Linked DNA regions of Mus musculus. The protein of the gene in region 1 purifies or fractionates together with the protein of each later gene. This does not show direct contact. Links are inferred from orthologs where the notes say so. Each region holds a gene or a part of one and is shown on either strand. Other genes may lie near its edges. The genes, in order: Gna13, Arhgef11, Arhgef1 and Arhgef12.

What was found.
Region 2: the proteins of Gna13 (region 1) and Arhgef11 purify together in Homo sapiens (affinity purification with western blotting; 3 studies listed by BioGRID). This does not show direct contact. The link is inferred for Mus musculus from reciprocal best matches to the Homo sapiens genes GNA13 and ARHGEF11.
Region 3: the proteins of Gna13 (region 1) and Arhgef1 purify together in Homo sapiens (affinity purification with western blotting; 5 studies listed by BioGRID and IntAct, with this or other methods). This does not show direct contact. The link is inferred for Mus musculus from reciprocal best matches to the Homo sapiens genes GNA13 and ARHGEF1.
Region 4: the proteins of Gna13 (region 1) and Arhgef12 purify together in Homo sapiens (affinity purification with western blotting; 3 studies listed by BioGRID). This does not show direct contact. The link is inferred for Mus musculus from reciprocal best matches to the Homo sapiens genes GNA13 and ARHGEF12.

The regions. Positions count from the first base shown.
Region 1 is NC_000077.6:109,361,486-109,365,637, reverse strand, and holds the start of Gna13 (guanine nucleotide-binding protein subunit alpha-13), read right to left. Parts: upstream 2,845-4,152; 5' UTR 2,665-2,844; coding exon 2,382-2,664; exon of another isoform or gene 1,984-2,381; intron 103-1,983; coding exon 1-102. UniProt on the Homo sapiens protein: Guanine nucleotide-binding proteins (G proteins) are involved as modulators or transducers in various transmembrane signaling systems.
Region 2 is NC_000069.6:87,735,517-87,738,570, forward strand, and holds the end of Arhgef11 (rho guanine nucleotide exchange factor 11), read left to right. Parts: coding exon 1-55; intron 56-289; coding exon 290-479; intron 480-1,406; exon of another isoform or gene 1,407-1,527; coding exon 1,528-1,586; 3' UTR 1,587-2,523; downstream 2,524-3,054. UniProt on the Homo sapiens protein: May play a role in the regulation of RhoA GTPase by guanine nucleotide-binding alpha-12 (GNA12) and alpha-13 (GNA13). Acts as guanine nucleotide exchange factor (GEF) for RhoA GTPase and may act as GTPase-activating protein (GAP) for GNA12 and GNA13.
Region 3 is NC_000073.6:24,901,702-24,905,821, forward strand, and holds the start of Arhgef1 (rho guanine nucleotide exchange factor 1), read left to right. Parts: upstream 1-1,284; 5' UTR 1,285-1,427; intron 1,428-1,732; exon of another isoform or gene 1,733-2,154; intron 2,155-2,266; exon of another isoform or gene 2,267-2,796; intron 2,797-4,120. UniProt on the Homo sapiens protein: Seems to play a role in the regulation of RhoA GTPase by guanine nucleotide-binding alpha-12 (GNA12) and alpha-13 (GNA13) subunits. Acts as a GTPase-activating protein (GAP) for GNA12 and GNA13, and as guanine nucleotide exchange factor (GEF) for RhoA GTPase.
Region 4 is NC_000075.6:42,969,665-42,973,227, forward strand, and holds part of Arhgef12 (rho guanine nucleotide exchange factor 12), read right to left. Parts: intron 2,802-3,563; coding exon 2,331-2,801; intron 1,643-2,330; coding exon 1,329-1,642; intron 119-1,328; coding exon 49-118; intron 1-48. UniProt on the Homo sapiens protein: May play a role in the regulation of RhoA GTPase by guanine nucleotide-binding alpha-12 (GNA12) and alpha-13 (GNA13). Acts as guanine nucleotide exchange factor (GEF) for RhoA GTPase and may act as GTPase-activating protein (GAP) for GNA12 and GNA13.

The DNA.
Region 1 (4,152 bases):
CGCGGGTATCAAATGCCATCAACTTGTCTCCATGGAGCTGGTTTTTGTTATCTCCCCAGGGAATATGAAGCTTCTCTCGGGCATCTACCAGCACCCTCATACCTTTGTTTAAAAAGAGAAAAACCGTGTGAGGAAGAGTCATGAAGATACCATCAGAGGCTTTGGCCCCAGGGTTACTCAGTATTGGTTCCTTAATTTTTAGCTATTACAGAAGCCCCACTTCCAAAATGGGAGACCAGAATCAAAACAAAACCTTTATCTTCTCAGAGGTTTGAGAAACAAGTGTTCACTGTCTCAAAACCAGAAGCCTTGAAAAGTTAATATTAATAACAAAAACCACTTTGGGGAGGATTCTAATATGCTACGATTCATAAAAATCCTTTCTGGTGTAGACGGCAGTCAAAACCGGAGACAGAAAAAATAAATAGTGCTGCCTAGGCTGGTGCCAGGCTAAAGACGGCCCGGCCCGAGCTAAGGACAGCTGACTGTGCTGTGTGCAGTCCGGGTCCTCCAGGTTCCTACCAACACTGTCTTCTAGGACGCACTTAACCTCAAGGCTTCCTCAGACCAAGTTTCTCTTTTAATCAGTGCAGTCACACACTGGCTTTAGTCACCTAAAAGGAAAACCAACTGCACAAAGACCCAAGACCGCCCATGAGGCTTCCACTTACACAGGTCAGCTCAAACTCCTGTCTCTAAAACTGTTACTTCTGTCATCATCGGGAAGTCATTTCTTTGGATACAAGAAAAAATTGTTATGCTTTCACTTTTCTGACCATGCCAACAAAAGAAAATAAGATGCCTCCCTAGACTTCAACCTGATCACACAATCATGTTCAAAGGGACTCTTAGGCCCAGTGTGTGTAGAAAAGCAGGTGATTTGCCTCGCTCACAAGTGACTACTTGAGTCTGTTCATTCTTTAAGTTCATCTGTATCAGGATACAAAGGTACCTTCAATTAAGGGCTGGCAAGGTACAGTTTACAGTCTTCCAGGAGACTTTAATTAGTTCTGTGCTGAGCATTAAGGCAGACTGAACACAGCCATCCTTTTCAGCTTTACTGCAAAGGTACAAGGGTAAGGGCAAGACATGGACTGTGAGCTCCTGGCCTCGCCCTCTCCCCTCTCTGCCTGGCAAAGCATCTTCTCTAGTCTTTCCCTACTTGAAACACTGAAGGGGGTGGGGGGAACGGACCCATGAGGGAGTTTGCTTATGTTCTTCTTGAACAACAAAAAATATGCTTAAAAAAAAGTCACACAACTCCTTGAAAAGACCTACAAAATTAAAGTTTGCTTCCAAGCCCTAGATTTAATAGGGTGACTCCTTAACCACTCAGAAATCTGTTTTCTGATGTGCTGCTGTGCCTCAACTCTGCCAACTTCTCTTAGGTAGAAAATACCTGACACTAAAGAAAAAAAAATTAAAAAAAACAAGATGATTCTTTTAAATGATAAAAATAAAAGCCACCTCTGCAACTTATTTGAACACTAAGGAATAAAAATATTGGGTGGTTTTCACTTAAGGAACAGTATTTAAAATACTGTTCAACAGGATTTGTGAAGCCCACCATGCAGTCCAGCACATGTATTTAAACATAAATTCATGAAAGCATTAGAAATGATATGAAATGATACTGTTTTTTTCTCCTGTCTCGAGTTATTAAGAAAAAAAAAAGTGTGCAACATGTTGAACTGTGATTACAAACATCCTGTAGCAATGAGCCGATAAAACCACTCGCGCTAATTTTTTTTAATAGACTTTCCTGATGCCAGTTCAGTAAACGTGAGTTTCATACTCTTGCCCCAAAAGGCTCTAGAGGCTGTCACTCTATGCCCTTGACAAGAGTCTCAGGGTAAAAAAAAAAAAAAAAAAAAAAAAAAAGTTTCCTCATTACAACCGTTCCAGAACTTGCTTAAGTCAAGAGGTGGCCTAGGAAGCCCAAAGCTGGAAGGGTAACATACCCGGTTACTAGGGTCACCCACCAGGGACGGGCAGAAAGGAAAGAAGGATAGGAAGGGATAGGGAGTGTAGGACCTGGGGCTACTGATGGGTGGTCTTGCCCGGAGTGCAGGGAGGACACAAGTTGCCCCGCTGCCCCGAGTCACCCTACTCGCCGCACTTCCCTCTTGGAGGGGGCGAGGCCAGCCGCGGAGTGCTGGGCCGACCGTGACCCTCACCGGGGTAGCACGGGGGGGACAGCGGGGCGTCCCGGATCGAAGGGACCAGGGCAACAGGGCGCACAGAACGGTGCCCAAGGCGCGCCCACCCGCTCGCCCGTCCGATCTGATCCCGTTCGGTCTCCTCCGACTGGGGACCCGGCGGATGAGGGCGGTGCCCGGCCCGGCTCCCCAGGGGTCCCCGAGCCCCGCCGCGCCCCGCACCTTTGATCACGTTGCTGTAGATGGTGGGGCGGAACTCCTCGCGCGCGCGCTGGTCGAAGTCCTGGCCGTGGATGATCCGCATCTGCTTCAGGAAGGTGGACTTGCCGCTCTCGCCCGCGCCCAGCAGCAGGATCTTCACCAGCCGCTTCACGTAGGTCTTCTCCCGCGACAGGCATTTGTCGATCTCCTTGGACTTGCGCTGCTGCTCGGCCTCGCCGTTCGTCAGCACGCAGCCCGGGAAGCACACGGACAGCACGGAGCGCGACGGCAGGAAGTCCGCCATCTTGCCGCCGCCGCCGCCTCGGCGGGCCCCTGCGGCTCCTCCACCTCCTCCTCCGGCAGCGGGCGGCTCCGGCAAGGCGGCTGGAGGGCGGGGAGCGCAGCGGCGGCCCGAGCGCGCCCGGGGAGGGAGGGAACCCGAGGACTGACTCGCCAGGGCGGGCCGCGCCGGCCGGGGGAGGGTGGGAGGGAGGGAGGGAGGGAGGGAGGGCGGGCCCGGGGAGGGGCGGCGGCCCTCTGGGCGTGCGCGTGCCCGCTGCCTTTCGGGTACGCGCACGCAGGCACGCCGAGCGGAGGAGGGAGCGGCAGCGGCGGGAGTCACGCGCTCCTGTGCAGCCGGGAGCGCGCTCGGAGAGCGGCGGAGCCCGGGTCACGTGGGCCAGGCTGGGCGCGCGCGCCTGCGGATCCAGAGTTTCTGTTTCCCTTTAGTGCCACCGCTTCCCGGAGCCCCGAGGCGAGTAAGCAAAGCCCATCCTGACCCCTTTCCGCTGGGGCATCTTTCTCACTACAGATCCCACTGCCCTTTCCCATAGTTACTCGCCCGCCGCTTGCTGTCACCTTCACGCGACCTATTTTGAGACCATTGGCTGGGACATCCCCGCACCCGACCAGTGCAAGCCTTCCTTCGTTACAGTTTGCCTTGTTTTGTTTTGTTTTGTTTTAACTCTTGAGACAAGATCCCTGCGGCCCAAGTTGGCTTAAATTTGTGACAATCGTCTTGCTTCAGCCTCCCTGTCCGTTTCTGGTATTACCGGCAGGCAAGAGCTTTCCTTCAAGATCGTGCGTTTAATTAGCAGCGACCCTTCCCCGCCCCCTTGTCATCCTAACCATCCCGAATCTGGAAGGATAAGTAGATGTCAGATGTCGTTATTGATCAACACCTCACCCTAGCAGCTCAGGGCACTATTGATAACCTGCCCTGGTTTGAGGGGAAGTTGGAGTTGATGTTCTCGTGAGATGTGCCAGGAAGGTCGCTGGCGGCTGGCTCACTCATTAGATTCCCATCCGAGCTGCACTTGTGACTTGGGTAATGCCTTCTGAGGTCAGTGAATGGTGGAGAGGGTGAGGTCATGTTGAAAATCCCCCTAAACCGGACACTCTGATGCACGTTCTTCCCAAGGAAGCAGATAAGCGCTCAGCCTAGGACTGCAGCAGGCACATTTTGGGTTTCCTGCCGGATTACAGAGGATATGACAGACAAGAAACTTTTTTTTTTCTGTCATACCAGCAGATCAGGCCAGAACACCTGAAAAAGAGACTCCTGGGGAACACGTGACTAGTGACAGCTGAATGACTGTAGCAAGGACCTCAGAAGCCAACTTCTTCATTCTTGTCAGTTTCAAAGTTGATGCCTGTCTGGTTTTGCTCCTGGGACCTGACTCGTGTGCAACTTGGGAACTTCCTGTGTGTTAGGGAGTTGGGGTAAAGAGGTCAACACCGTGACATGCACAAGTTTAAAATTTTAAAAACCAGCACTATAAGTCAGTCCATC
Region 2 (3,054 bases), on another chromosome or scaffold:
GGGTGTGATCTTCCACACCATCGAGCAACTGACCGTCAAGCTTCACAGACTCAAGGTGAGGGGTGCAGCCTTGGGGCAGGAAGCCGTCCATCCAGTACCCGGGACAGTTCCCCGAGAGGGAAACTGATAGAAATTTGAGACGAGGGCCTCACACAAGCTAGACAAACATTAAGCTCCATCCCCAACTCAGGAAGTATATCTCTTCAACTGGAGTCCTATGCTACCCTGCGTACCCTCCCGCACCCTCTGAGCCTTAGCACAGGGAAGACACCTCCTTCAACTCTTGTAGGACATGGAGCTGGCCCACAGAGAGCTGCTCAACTCCCTTGGAGGAGAGTCGTCTGGTGGAACCACTCCTGTGGGAAGTTTTCACACAGAGGCAGCCAGATGGACAGACTACTCCCTCTCTCCTCCAGCCAAGGAAGCCCTGACCTCTGACCCCCAAAACAATCAGGAGCAGGGGTCCTACCCTGAAGAAGGTGAGTGAAGCCAACCCCTGCATGTGCTGCCTGAGGGAATGCTGTGAACCAGGAGTAAGTGTGAGCAGGTAGTGGGCCGTGCTCCCATGACTCTTCCCTAAGAAAGAGCAAGCACATTCCCTCAGCTTCACAGAGAAAGTTTGCCAGGCACAGTGCTGTGCCTTTAATCCCAACACCCAGGAAACAGATGCAGCTGAATTTCTGTGAGTTGGAGGTATATAGTTCCAGGCCGGGAGGGGGGAGTCTGTCAGAGAACAACTTCAGTTGTCCGTTCTTGCCTTCCACCCTGAGGCAGCATCTATGTTCACCGCTAGATGAGCCAGGCTGGCCGGCCCACCCACCAGTTTGTTCTCCTGTGTCCTGTTTCTAGGTGTTCTGATTATCCATTGAACTCTCTCCAGCCCCAGAAAGTGATCTTTATAGGCAAGCTACACAGAGACTCCCCCCCAAATAGGGACTAGTAGTACAGAACCTCTTGCCTGCATGTAAGTCTGTATATCACATACATGCAGTACCAAAGGATGCCAGAAGAGGACTGAAACTGGAGTTATAGGTGGTTGTGAGCTGCCATGTGGGTGATGGGAATTGAACCTGGGCGCTCTGGGAGAGTAGAAAGTATTCTTAACCACTGAGCCATCTCTCAGCCCCCAGAACCTTCTATTTATGTTGGTTTGAGGAAGTAATGTACCAGGAAAGCCGCCTTACCTCTGCAGCAGGTTCTTAGTGGCTCAGACCTGGGTTATAAGGGCAAGGACCGAATTCAGAAAGCTAAAACGCCTAACCTGTCTTGGTTTTGGCGCCTGGAAAGAAATGCAGTCCCACAGGAAACAAGGCTTGGACTGACAAGATGGCTCACCAAGCCTGACCATCTGAGTTCGAGCCCCAGGATTCACATGGAAGGAGAGAACCGACTCCAACAAGTTGTCTAGCTTCCACACACTCTATTACATATAAGCTTTGTCACAGCTGGCACTCAAGAATCAGCCAGGGACATGAAAGAGAACCTCTCAAATGTAGCCAGCGTCTCACCCTCACCATCTTCCCACAGGCTCCGACACCCCCCTGGAAGACAGTGCCACAGACACAGCTTCGTCACCAGGACCATAGCCATCCAGACAACCAGAGTCTGGCCTGAGCCAGAGCGCCACATTAGGAGATCCGAGCCTCCCCGTGAAAGATACTGTGAGGCCTGGGAATCCCTCATGTTGCCTGGTCTGTTCCCACCAGACAGTCCAGTTTAGTGTCTCTTCCTCCTGTTAGCCCAAGTCTCCGTGGCTTTCGTCTCCTAAGCATGCTGACCACAATAGAAAGGCCTCCACCCCACATAGCCAGTGTGGGGTGTGCTATGTGCACAGTGCCCTTGAGGAGGCTTATGTATAAATGCACTTTCTTCCTCCTCTTCTTCCTAGGCCCCGAGACAGCTAGATGCCTGGCTCTCCTCTTTGCCCTTTAGTTTCCTATAAATATGTCTATTGTATGTGTATCTTTGCCATTGTAAATAACTTAGCCTTTTATTCTGTCCCTGGCATGTTCAACCAGTCACAGAGAGCCAGGCAGCAGCCCCGCACAGGGCCATGATTGTTTATGTCCCACTGGCAGGGAGGTCTCCCAGATTCCAGTGCTGTCAAGCTCCAGGGCCTGCCCACCTCTGAAGCCTAGGCCTTCTCAGTGTCAGGAAATGCTCCTGCAGGGAGTGTCTTACCCAGCCCTTCCCCACTTGCCCCATAGAAACAATACACCAGGTACGGATCTCAACACAGACTCTCAAGAGAGATGTGGAGTGGATTGCTGGAGTCCCTGAGTTAAGTCAGGGCCCTTCCTTCCCCAGGGGCCACAGCACCGTTGGCTCATCACCCTGTCCTCACGCCACTCCCTACAATGAACATACACACTGTGCTAGGTGTATATATACATATATATAAATATATATAATATATAAAATATAGATATGGAAATGACTGTTTTACTGTTAAAATAATGTATACTCTTATTTTCTTCCTTTCATGGTTAAGATTTTTTTAAAGAAAAGTTAAATATTCTTCCATTGTGGTTGTATGATTCTTAGCCTGATAGAGGGTGTGAGGCTGCCGGTGTGACCGGTCAAAAATGGGTAGAGGGAGACAAGAAAGCCCCTGCCACAGCCATCCTGCACCAGGTCTTTCCACCTGTCCCAAAGTGCCGGTGTGTAGACCTTCTCAGCAGAGGTTGGACAACTGGCTCTGGCCCAGAAAAGGACATTGTGGTTACGTCACACGAAGGAACAGGGCTGCTGTGACCTACTCTCAGATGCAAACCATGAAGAGGGTTACCACACTGCCCTCCTTCCCACAGACCAGGAAGAGCCATGGCAGCTGAGCCATGCCTTAGAGGACCTGGGACATAACTGGAAAAGCCATGGTGCACCTTAACACAGTGACTGAGACTCAGAGCAGCCGGAGAGATCCCCAGAGCCACTTGCCAGCCGGGGCTGGAGCTCTGGAAGGTAGAGGAGGGGCTAGAGATGAGGGAGAGTTACCTTGGTTGGAGATTCCCTGGAGGTTGGCATGGGCTCTCCAGAACCCTCAGCAGAGGCAGC
Region 3 (4,120 bases), on another chromosome or scaffold:
TCTTGTCCTTCCCCAAGTCCAGCTCCCTCTCTAGTGGGTAATGAGCCCTTAATCGCTGCCTCTAGGGGAGCTGATTACAGCAGCCTCGTTAGTGTCACCCCCCCTCCTCCCAGATCTGTCATGGCCACTTAAGTGATAATAAATCCTTCCCAAAGCAGCCCTTGGCAGGAGTCATGGATCTCATGTAGACTGCTCCTCAACACTGCCAGGGAACCAGGAGCAGAAAACCCAAGTCCCCTCCCCCCTCAGACCCAGGATTCTAGGTTCAAGTTCTCACCTGACCACTTCTGAGATCTGGGACCAGACAGTTCTTGCTGTCTGTCTTCCCCAACCCCCTCCCCCCAAAATAACAGGAAGTCTCTTGGGGAAGTCCCCACCCCAATTGAAATGCTGGTTTATCTCCCTTATAGGGCCTCACCCTCCTCATGTCCCAAAGCAAGGGGGAACCAGCCCGGGTGTTACCAAATTTTTACCTATATTTAAACTCTGAGAACACAAGATATTATTTTCTGGAGTGGGGCCTAATTCCCTCATGGGTTCACTTGCATAAGGCAGATTTGGAGAGTTTCTGTCAAGAACCGGGGGGAGGGGGATGACAGAGAGAGCTAGAGTGGTGTGACAGTCATTGGGATGGGAAGAGCAGACTCAGGTTGTTAAAAGACAGGAGGCCAAGAGGAGACTCAGTGGGATCCCCAGAGACAAGGATGCAGAGATAAATAGCCAAAGGAAGAAGCAGACACAAACTGGCTGGCCTGATAATAACAGTTGAGGAAAGGACAAAGCCTGAAATCTCAGAGCATGAGAGAGACAGCCAACAGCAAGAAATGGGCCCAGCGTGATCAAGGCACAGAGGAGCTGCAGCAGGGAGAAGCAACAGAGGCCAGAAAGCAAGGAGTGCCTGGATGGGCCCCTGACCTTGTGGGCAGGAAGGCCTTCGAGCTTCGAAAAAGAGATCAGGGTGGTGGCGCGCACCTTTAGCTTTAATCTCTCTACTCCAGAAGCAGAGACACCTGAGTTCGAATCCAGCCCGCCTTACACAACAAGTTCGAGGCCAGCCAGGGCTACATAGGGAGCCCTTGTCGCAAACTAAGAGAAAGAGAGAGTAAGGGCCAGGGCAGGAGCTGGGCAACAGCAGGGAGGGCGGCGGAGGCGGACAAAGGCGAAGGGGAGCCGGGCGGGGCCGGGTGGGGACGCGCCCGCGGGGAAAGGAGGAGCCGCGCGGGCGGCGAGAAGGGGAAGGAAGCCGAGGTGCCGGGCGGGCACGGGGCGCGGGCAGGAAGCGGGGAGGGGCGGCGGGCGGGGGCTCCGGAAAAACGCCCCGACTTCCTGCCCGCCAGAGCCAGGAAGCCGGAGTCGGGACACCGGGCCCGGGATCCCCGAGCCCGACCTCGGGCGCCTCGCCGGTCACCTCCCCGCGCGGACACCAGGTACACTGTCCCTGGCCCCGCCCGGCCTCCTCCTCCAGCCGCCGCAGGGAGGAGCAGGGAGGGGACCGGGCGCGGAGGGCCTCCCAGGGTGCGCCCAGTGAACCTGCAGCCGCCTTTCTCTGGCCTCGGTTTTCTCATCTGTCAAAGAGAGCAAAGAGAAAACCCGGCGCGTTGGCGCCCGCCTGTCATCCCAGGAGTTGGGAAGCAGAGACAGGAGGATTGCCATGAGTTCGAGGTTAGCTTGGGCGACCTAGCATGAACCTGCCTCAAAAGAAAAAAAAAAAAAAAAACAAAACAAAACAGAGAGAGAGAGAGAGAGAGAGAGAGAGCACTTGTCGAGAGCACAAGTAGGTAGAGATCCAGGCTCCCAGCGAAGAACGATAACACTCATTTATCAGCAGGGAAACTGAGGCCCAGGGAGTCGGACTGCCTTGTCGTAGGGACAGAGCATCTGGGACTTGAACTCAAAGCTGTTTCCTGTAAAGAGCTGTCCCTGCGATCATGGATGCTTGATTAGAGCTCCCTAAAATAAACAAATATCTCTGCAGTACATTTTAAAGCCGAGACTTACAGAGCGTTAAACACGTCTCAGAAAGCTTTTTTCCTTACCCTCTCTGTGGTATTAATTATACTCTGGGAGATGGCTGTAGGGGAGAGAACCGGAAACATATCCTCATTGAACAGATGGGAAGACTGAGGCCTAAAGGGAAGTCATTGCATTTTGCAGGTTAGTCTATCAGAAGAAAATATATGCTCGAGCGCATGAGTGTTTTATGCTTTTGTTTGTGTGTGTGTGTGTGTGTGTGTGTGTGTGTGTGTGTCTATCTATGTGAGGGGGTTCTGTTTTTGTTTTGTTTTTTCTTTCCAATTACAGCGGGAGGAGTTGACAGTGGTGACAGAGGGTATACAAGCATTTGGAATTTAATAGGTCCGAGTTGGGGAGGTAGAGCTCATGTGAGGTCCCGATAGGTGCTTAGGACCTGAGCGACTTGAAGTTTCTCCGAGATTGAGCCCTAACCAGGCAATGGAACCATGCACCACTCCTGCTAAGGGGGCGGGGCCCAGGAGAGTGACAGGGGCAGTCGAAATACGGAAACAAGGGTCCTCCAAGGCAGACCAGAGCGGCCCTATCGGGCCAGCGTGGCGCCGTGTATTGCGATACCCGCCGGCAGGAGGAGTGGAGTTGCCGAGGCCGGAGAGCGGTAGGAGGCGGGCTAGAGCGGCCGGAGGGAGGAGTGGAGCTGGACGCAAAGGCGGCCTCTGGCTCGGCTAGAGCGACTCTGCGGCACGGGTGGGGGAACCTGGAGCTCGAGCGCGGAGGCTTCGGTTCCTGAGGCTGCAGTGGCTTGCTTCTCTTCCCATCCGACAGGTGAGATAGGCAGCCCTTGGTTGCCGTGAAACCTGACCCCACACGTCTTCCCTGCCACCCACACCACCACCGCTGCAGAATTAGTGAGCGCCTGTTGTAGATCAGCCACGTCCCACGTAAGATTTAGGGCTCGTGAAGACCCGCCACGTTACATAGGTCAATAAGAGCTCACATACCTTCCAGGTTTCAGGAAGCCTTTCACGGAGACCTGGCTTTTAACATAAGCATAGGCTTCTCATAGATCAAGGCAGGGCCCTACAGAACCCACCACACACCACTATCGAGGTCCCATAAACCATTAGTTTTCCCTTTAGAATCACCATCTCTCTGGATTCTTGAGGCCCACTATATGTCAAATAGAATGTGGGGTTGTATACATTCCAGGGCCCTCGTAGTTTTTTTCAAGGCTCCCAGAAGTTCTTGGAGACCTAAATAATCCAGTCCAAAGGCTTGTTGAATGTGAGCCCTTAGGACCCAGGCGCCTTTATGTGTTTACTTCTTCAGGACCCCCCCACACACACACACACACATACACACACACACACACACACACACACACACACACACACACTGCATAGACCTAAACCTGCCCTGACTTCCCCTGTCCACCCCACCTCCAGAGCCTCAAGTGCAAAATGCTCCCTCTGCCGGACAGTAGTGGACTTTGTCAGTTGCTTCATTTTGCCAGCTTTACCTATGTCTACTTTTCAAATCCTCTTTGAGCCCAGGTTTCTGGAGCTGCTGGGTCCATCCTGGGTGTCTGCAGAAGTCACGGCAGCCACATGACCTTTCCAGGCACCATCAGACCTGATGTATCTCAGAATAGATGCACATTTTAGTATTCCAAGGTCAAAGTGTGTGTGTGTGTGTGTGTGTGTGTGTGTGTGTAGCAGTGTTGTGTGCTGAATGTTTAAACTGTGGAACCAGACTGCCTGAACCTGAATCCTGGCTCTGACTCTCATAAGCCATGCCTCAATTTCCCCCTCCTGTAAATCAGCAATAAGAATAATAGTGACACCCTCCTCTCCTAAAACAAACCAAAATAATGCTGGCCTCATTGGGTCAGTAAGAGGATTAAATTCATTAACATCTGTAGACAGACCCTGAACCCTGCATAGAAACTAAGCCTGTGTGTGCTGTCTTTGCTGTGTCTGACACATACTGAGAACACGTGAGTGTCAGCCATTGTTCCTTATTACTGTGATGGGGAGTGTGGAGGCAATGCATGTGAACTGTGAACAAGAGAGTCAGGGTCTTCTGGTGACAATTTGTTAAAATTTCGTACCTCCCTTGGCTTCTCTTTTCTTGGGGGGGGGAGTTAATA
Region 4 (3,563 bases), on another chromosome or scaffold:
ATTTATCCAGTGTACTGCTAGTCAGAATAAGCCCACCACTTCACATACCTGAGAGCTTGTCGGGGAGGGCTGAGCCAGCCAGCCTTTGGCAAAGAAGAGCGTAACTTTCCTCCACCTTCTTCATGGGATGGCACACACACAAAAAAAATAACATTTAGTTGACAATAGGGGTGAAAGCACATGGCCCCCAATTTTAACATTAACAGTGACCACTAAAGATGCTGTTAGCTAGGAGGACGCCAATTTCTTCTGAATGAGTAACCTACCTCTCTATGCAAGGGGAAGGAAGTAAAGGTAACCTGCCCATGGCAGATGTCACCCAGGGAAGGTCACATGACACATGAACACAGAGGCCTCCTAGATAGCCTGCCTTGCTGGCCACATAGTGACATACATGAGATTAAAGAAGAAAACCTATTACATGGAGCAGAAAAAAAAGTTAAGGGAGATGAGCCCTGAGCTAATGGACTTCCGTCGACACTACGTGTCCCACCTAAATGATGTCATGGGCAAGTGTGAGCTCCAGCAGCTGTGTCACCAGGGCCGATGCTCTTACCTTACTGTCCCTTGTGTGTGTGTGTGTGTGTGCGCGTGTGTTTCTCATGCTTTTTCTTTTTTGTTGTTATTGTTTGATTTCACTCTGGTTGGTTTGTCTTTTTTAATTTGCCTGCACGTTAGTAAAGAGAGAAAGGCCACGGAGCTGACTAGGTGGCAAGGTGAGAAGGATCTGGGAGAAATTGGGAGAAGGGGAACCATGATCAGAAGATATTGTATGAAATAATTTATTCTCAATTTTAAAATAAAATAGAGTCTCTTTCATAAAAAACCAGCACAGTAACGTCTTTCACTACCTCCATTTGGGCTCATGGGTTTTTGTAACAGAAGCCACTGGAGTCAATTTGTAACTGACATGGCCTCCGAGAAACTACCAACACTATTTATGAGGCACATGTAACTGCCAGGATACAGCAGCTCACAGCTATTCCTGGCTGTGATTGACAGCCACGAAAGCCCACCTACCGCCCGCATCATCCAGCATGATGGAAACCAACTGACCCAGTATTTAGGGTCTTAAAACTTAGAAGCCCAAAAAACAGGTAATTAGCTACAGACCTACAGTTTTCTTGTTCTTATAATGTGTCAAAAGACAAACCATGTCAACACCAGCTCTGATCCAGGCCTACTCATGATTAATGGTTAAAGACAATAAAAATGGCAGACACAGAACCTGGACCATCTTTGGACATCAGGATTCCATCATTCCAAACTTGCACTCTGCCAGCTGTGTTCTTAGGACCAAGTGCTACGGAGGCTGAAATGGGACATACCTTTAAGTGTTCCAGGTCAGCCTCTATTTTATGAATGTACTCCAGGATTTGGCTTTGTGAATCTGTACATGAGGGACTCTGGATCTCAAAACAGGTATCCTCCATAGCTCGCCAGTGCCGCTGGACCAGGAATTCTGGGGTGAATGGTGAAACCGGCCCCTCGGGATGCACATTCTGAGGGGAATGTTGCTGCTGGTGGCTGGAGTCCACAGCGGGGATGCCCGTCACAGGCTGCAGGGGGAACGAGGAGGCAACCTCCTCATCTGTGGAGCTCTCCTGAACTGCATCATAGCCATCAAGGATCAAACAGTTTCCTATTGGTAACAGGACAGTGTGATGAGATTAGCACTGCCACCAGAATGAGGTCATAAGGACAACTTGAAAACCTACCCTGGTGGAGGAACCCCCAACTCCCAAGTTCAGTTTTAACTCTACCAGAATTTACTTTGGATTAAAGTCAACCTTAGCAAACTTTCATGAGTTTAACACCTTAGCTACAAAGTCCTTACATGACAAGCGGAGTATCACTCACCTCCACACACCCTTTCCTGGGCTCCTGCTGCTTTCTCCCACCCCGCACTCCCCCTGACTACAGAAGCAGACTCTGCCAGTGCTTGCTGCTGAACACTGTATCCACGTGGCCTTTCCCATCACCACGTCTGCTCTCAGTACTCTCTGCCCGGGCTGTAGCTGGCCTTGTTTGTTTCTAATGCTTCTGACCACCTGATGTTTATCACTTGCTTTGGATTTACCTTTACTCTCTCCCTTTGGGCACTTAAGCTTCTTAGGAACAATGAAGTTTCTGTCATTTTTCACTGTCCAATCTCCCAGCCCCTTTGCCAATTTCTGGCAAAGATGGCAAAGAACAGACTATTTGTTGTATAAAGAAATAAGCGTGCGCGCACACACACACACACCTTAGATACTGAAACAACATCCATTCCAGCATATAAGACAGTTTATAATAATCACAATCAAAGTTGAAATGTGAAAGCCACTTGCCTGAGATGCGTAAATTAACATCCTTCTCTTCCTTTTTAACTGCTCCATCACCTTCTGATGGATTATCATCACTATGTGCTTCACGGGCATCAAAAAAGTGCTCTCCACTCTCATCCAGACCCCCTTCTGGCTCTGCAGGAGGCATCTCTGGGGTCAGGATCATGTGGTCCATTACTAAAACGTTACTTGCCTGGCTGTCTTGGGATGCCAGTATCACTGAATCCTGTGCAGCACAAGACTCAGTTGAAGTCCGTGGACTGTCACAAGTTGCAATATCACCAGTTCCAGTTTTAAAAGACATCTGTCCTTCCCTGGCATGACAAGCCTTAACATTTTCCAAGTCCCGGATGCCACTGTCTGCCTGTACCTCTTCAGAAGCTGGCCCGTATCGTGAGAAGGACTGCCAGTCTTCCTGAGTACTCTTCTCGGTGAGACCTAACTGCTGTACCAGCAACTGCTTCAACAAGCCCACTGGAGATTTAGGGCAAGAAGAAGAGAACAGAGGGTTAAACTGATTACCACAGTCTCACTGCCAGGCAAAATCTGACAGCTGAGTTTTCAATCCCCTCTAAAACTAAGGACATAATAATATATAACCAAAATATTAATCCTACACAATCATTTCTGTCTTGAAGCATGCAATAAAAATATGTCTTCTACACTAAACATTAAAATACACTGACAAGAGTTATGCACTTTGAATAGGGAGGCACTTTGAATTAGAAGTCCTAAATACACTTGACAGCAAGCATCTCATCTGTTTCAGCTAGGCCAGCAAATGCTCTTCTTCTCAAGAGCAGACTCTATATTTATAGGCATTTTTCCTAACAATTGTCCTAAATGGTGAAGGCAATGATTTGGGAGTAGTATATGGAAGTTCCAAAGTAAGTATTCATTAGATTTGTTTGTTTAGATTACCTTACTAGCAGCATTGCTCCTTTAGGATGTTAAAACTAACCCTGGGGCTAGTCTTATGACAAACTTCTGCAGGTGATGTCAGCTCTAGGACCAAGCCATCAAGCTATCAGACATCACTAAGTCTGTCACCTCAGGAGAATGCACAATAAAGAAGATTTTAAATAACTGCAACTTCCTGATTCCACCACAGGCTGACCCTCTGCTTTTCCAATAAAGAGCTCAGGTCTAAAACCCCTCCCCCTTTCTCAAGCACCTTAATTCCAGCCCTAAAACTCCATGTCCCACTACCACTCCCCTGGGATGGCTTGCCACTCC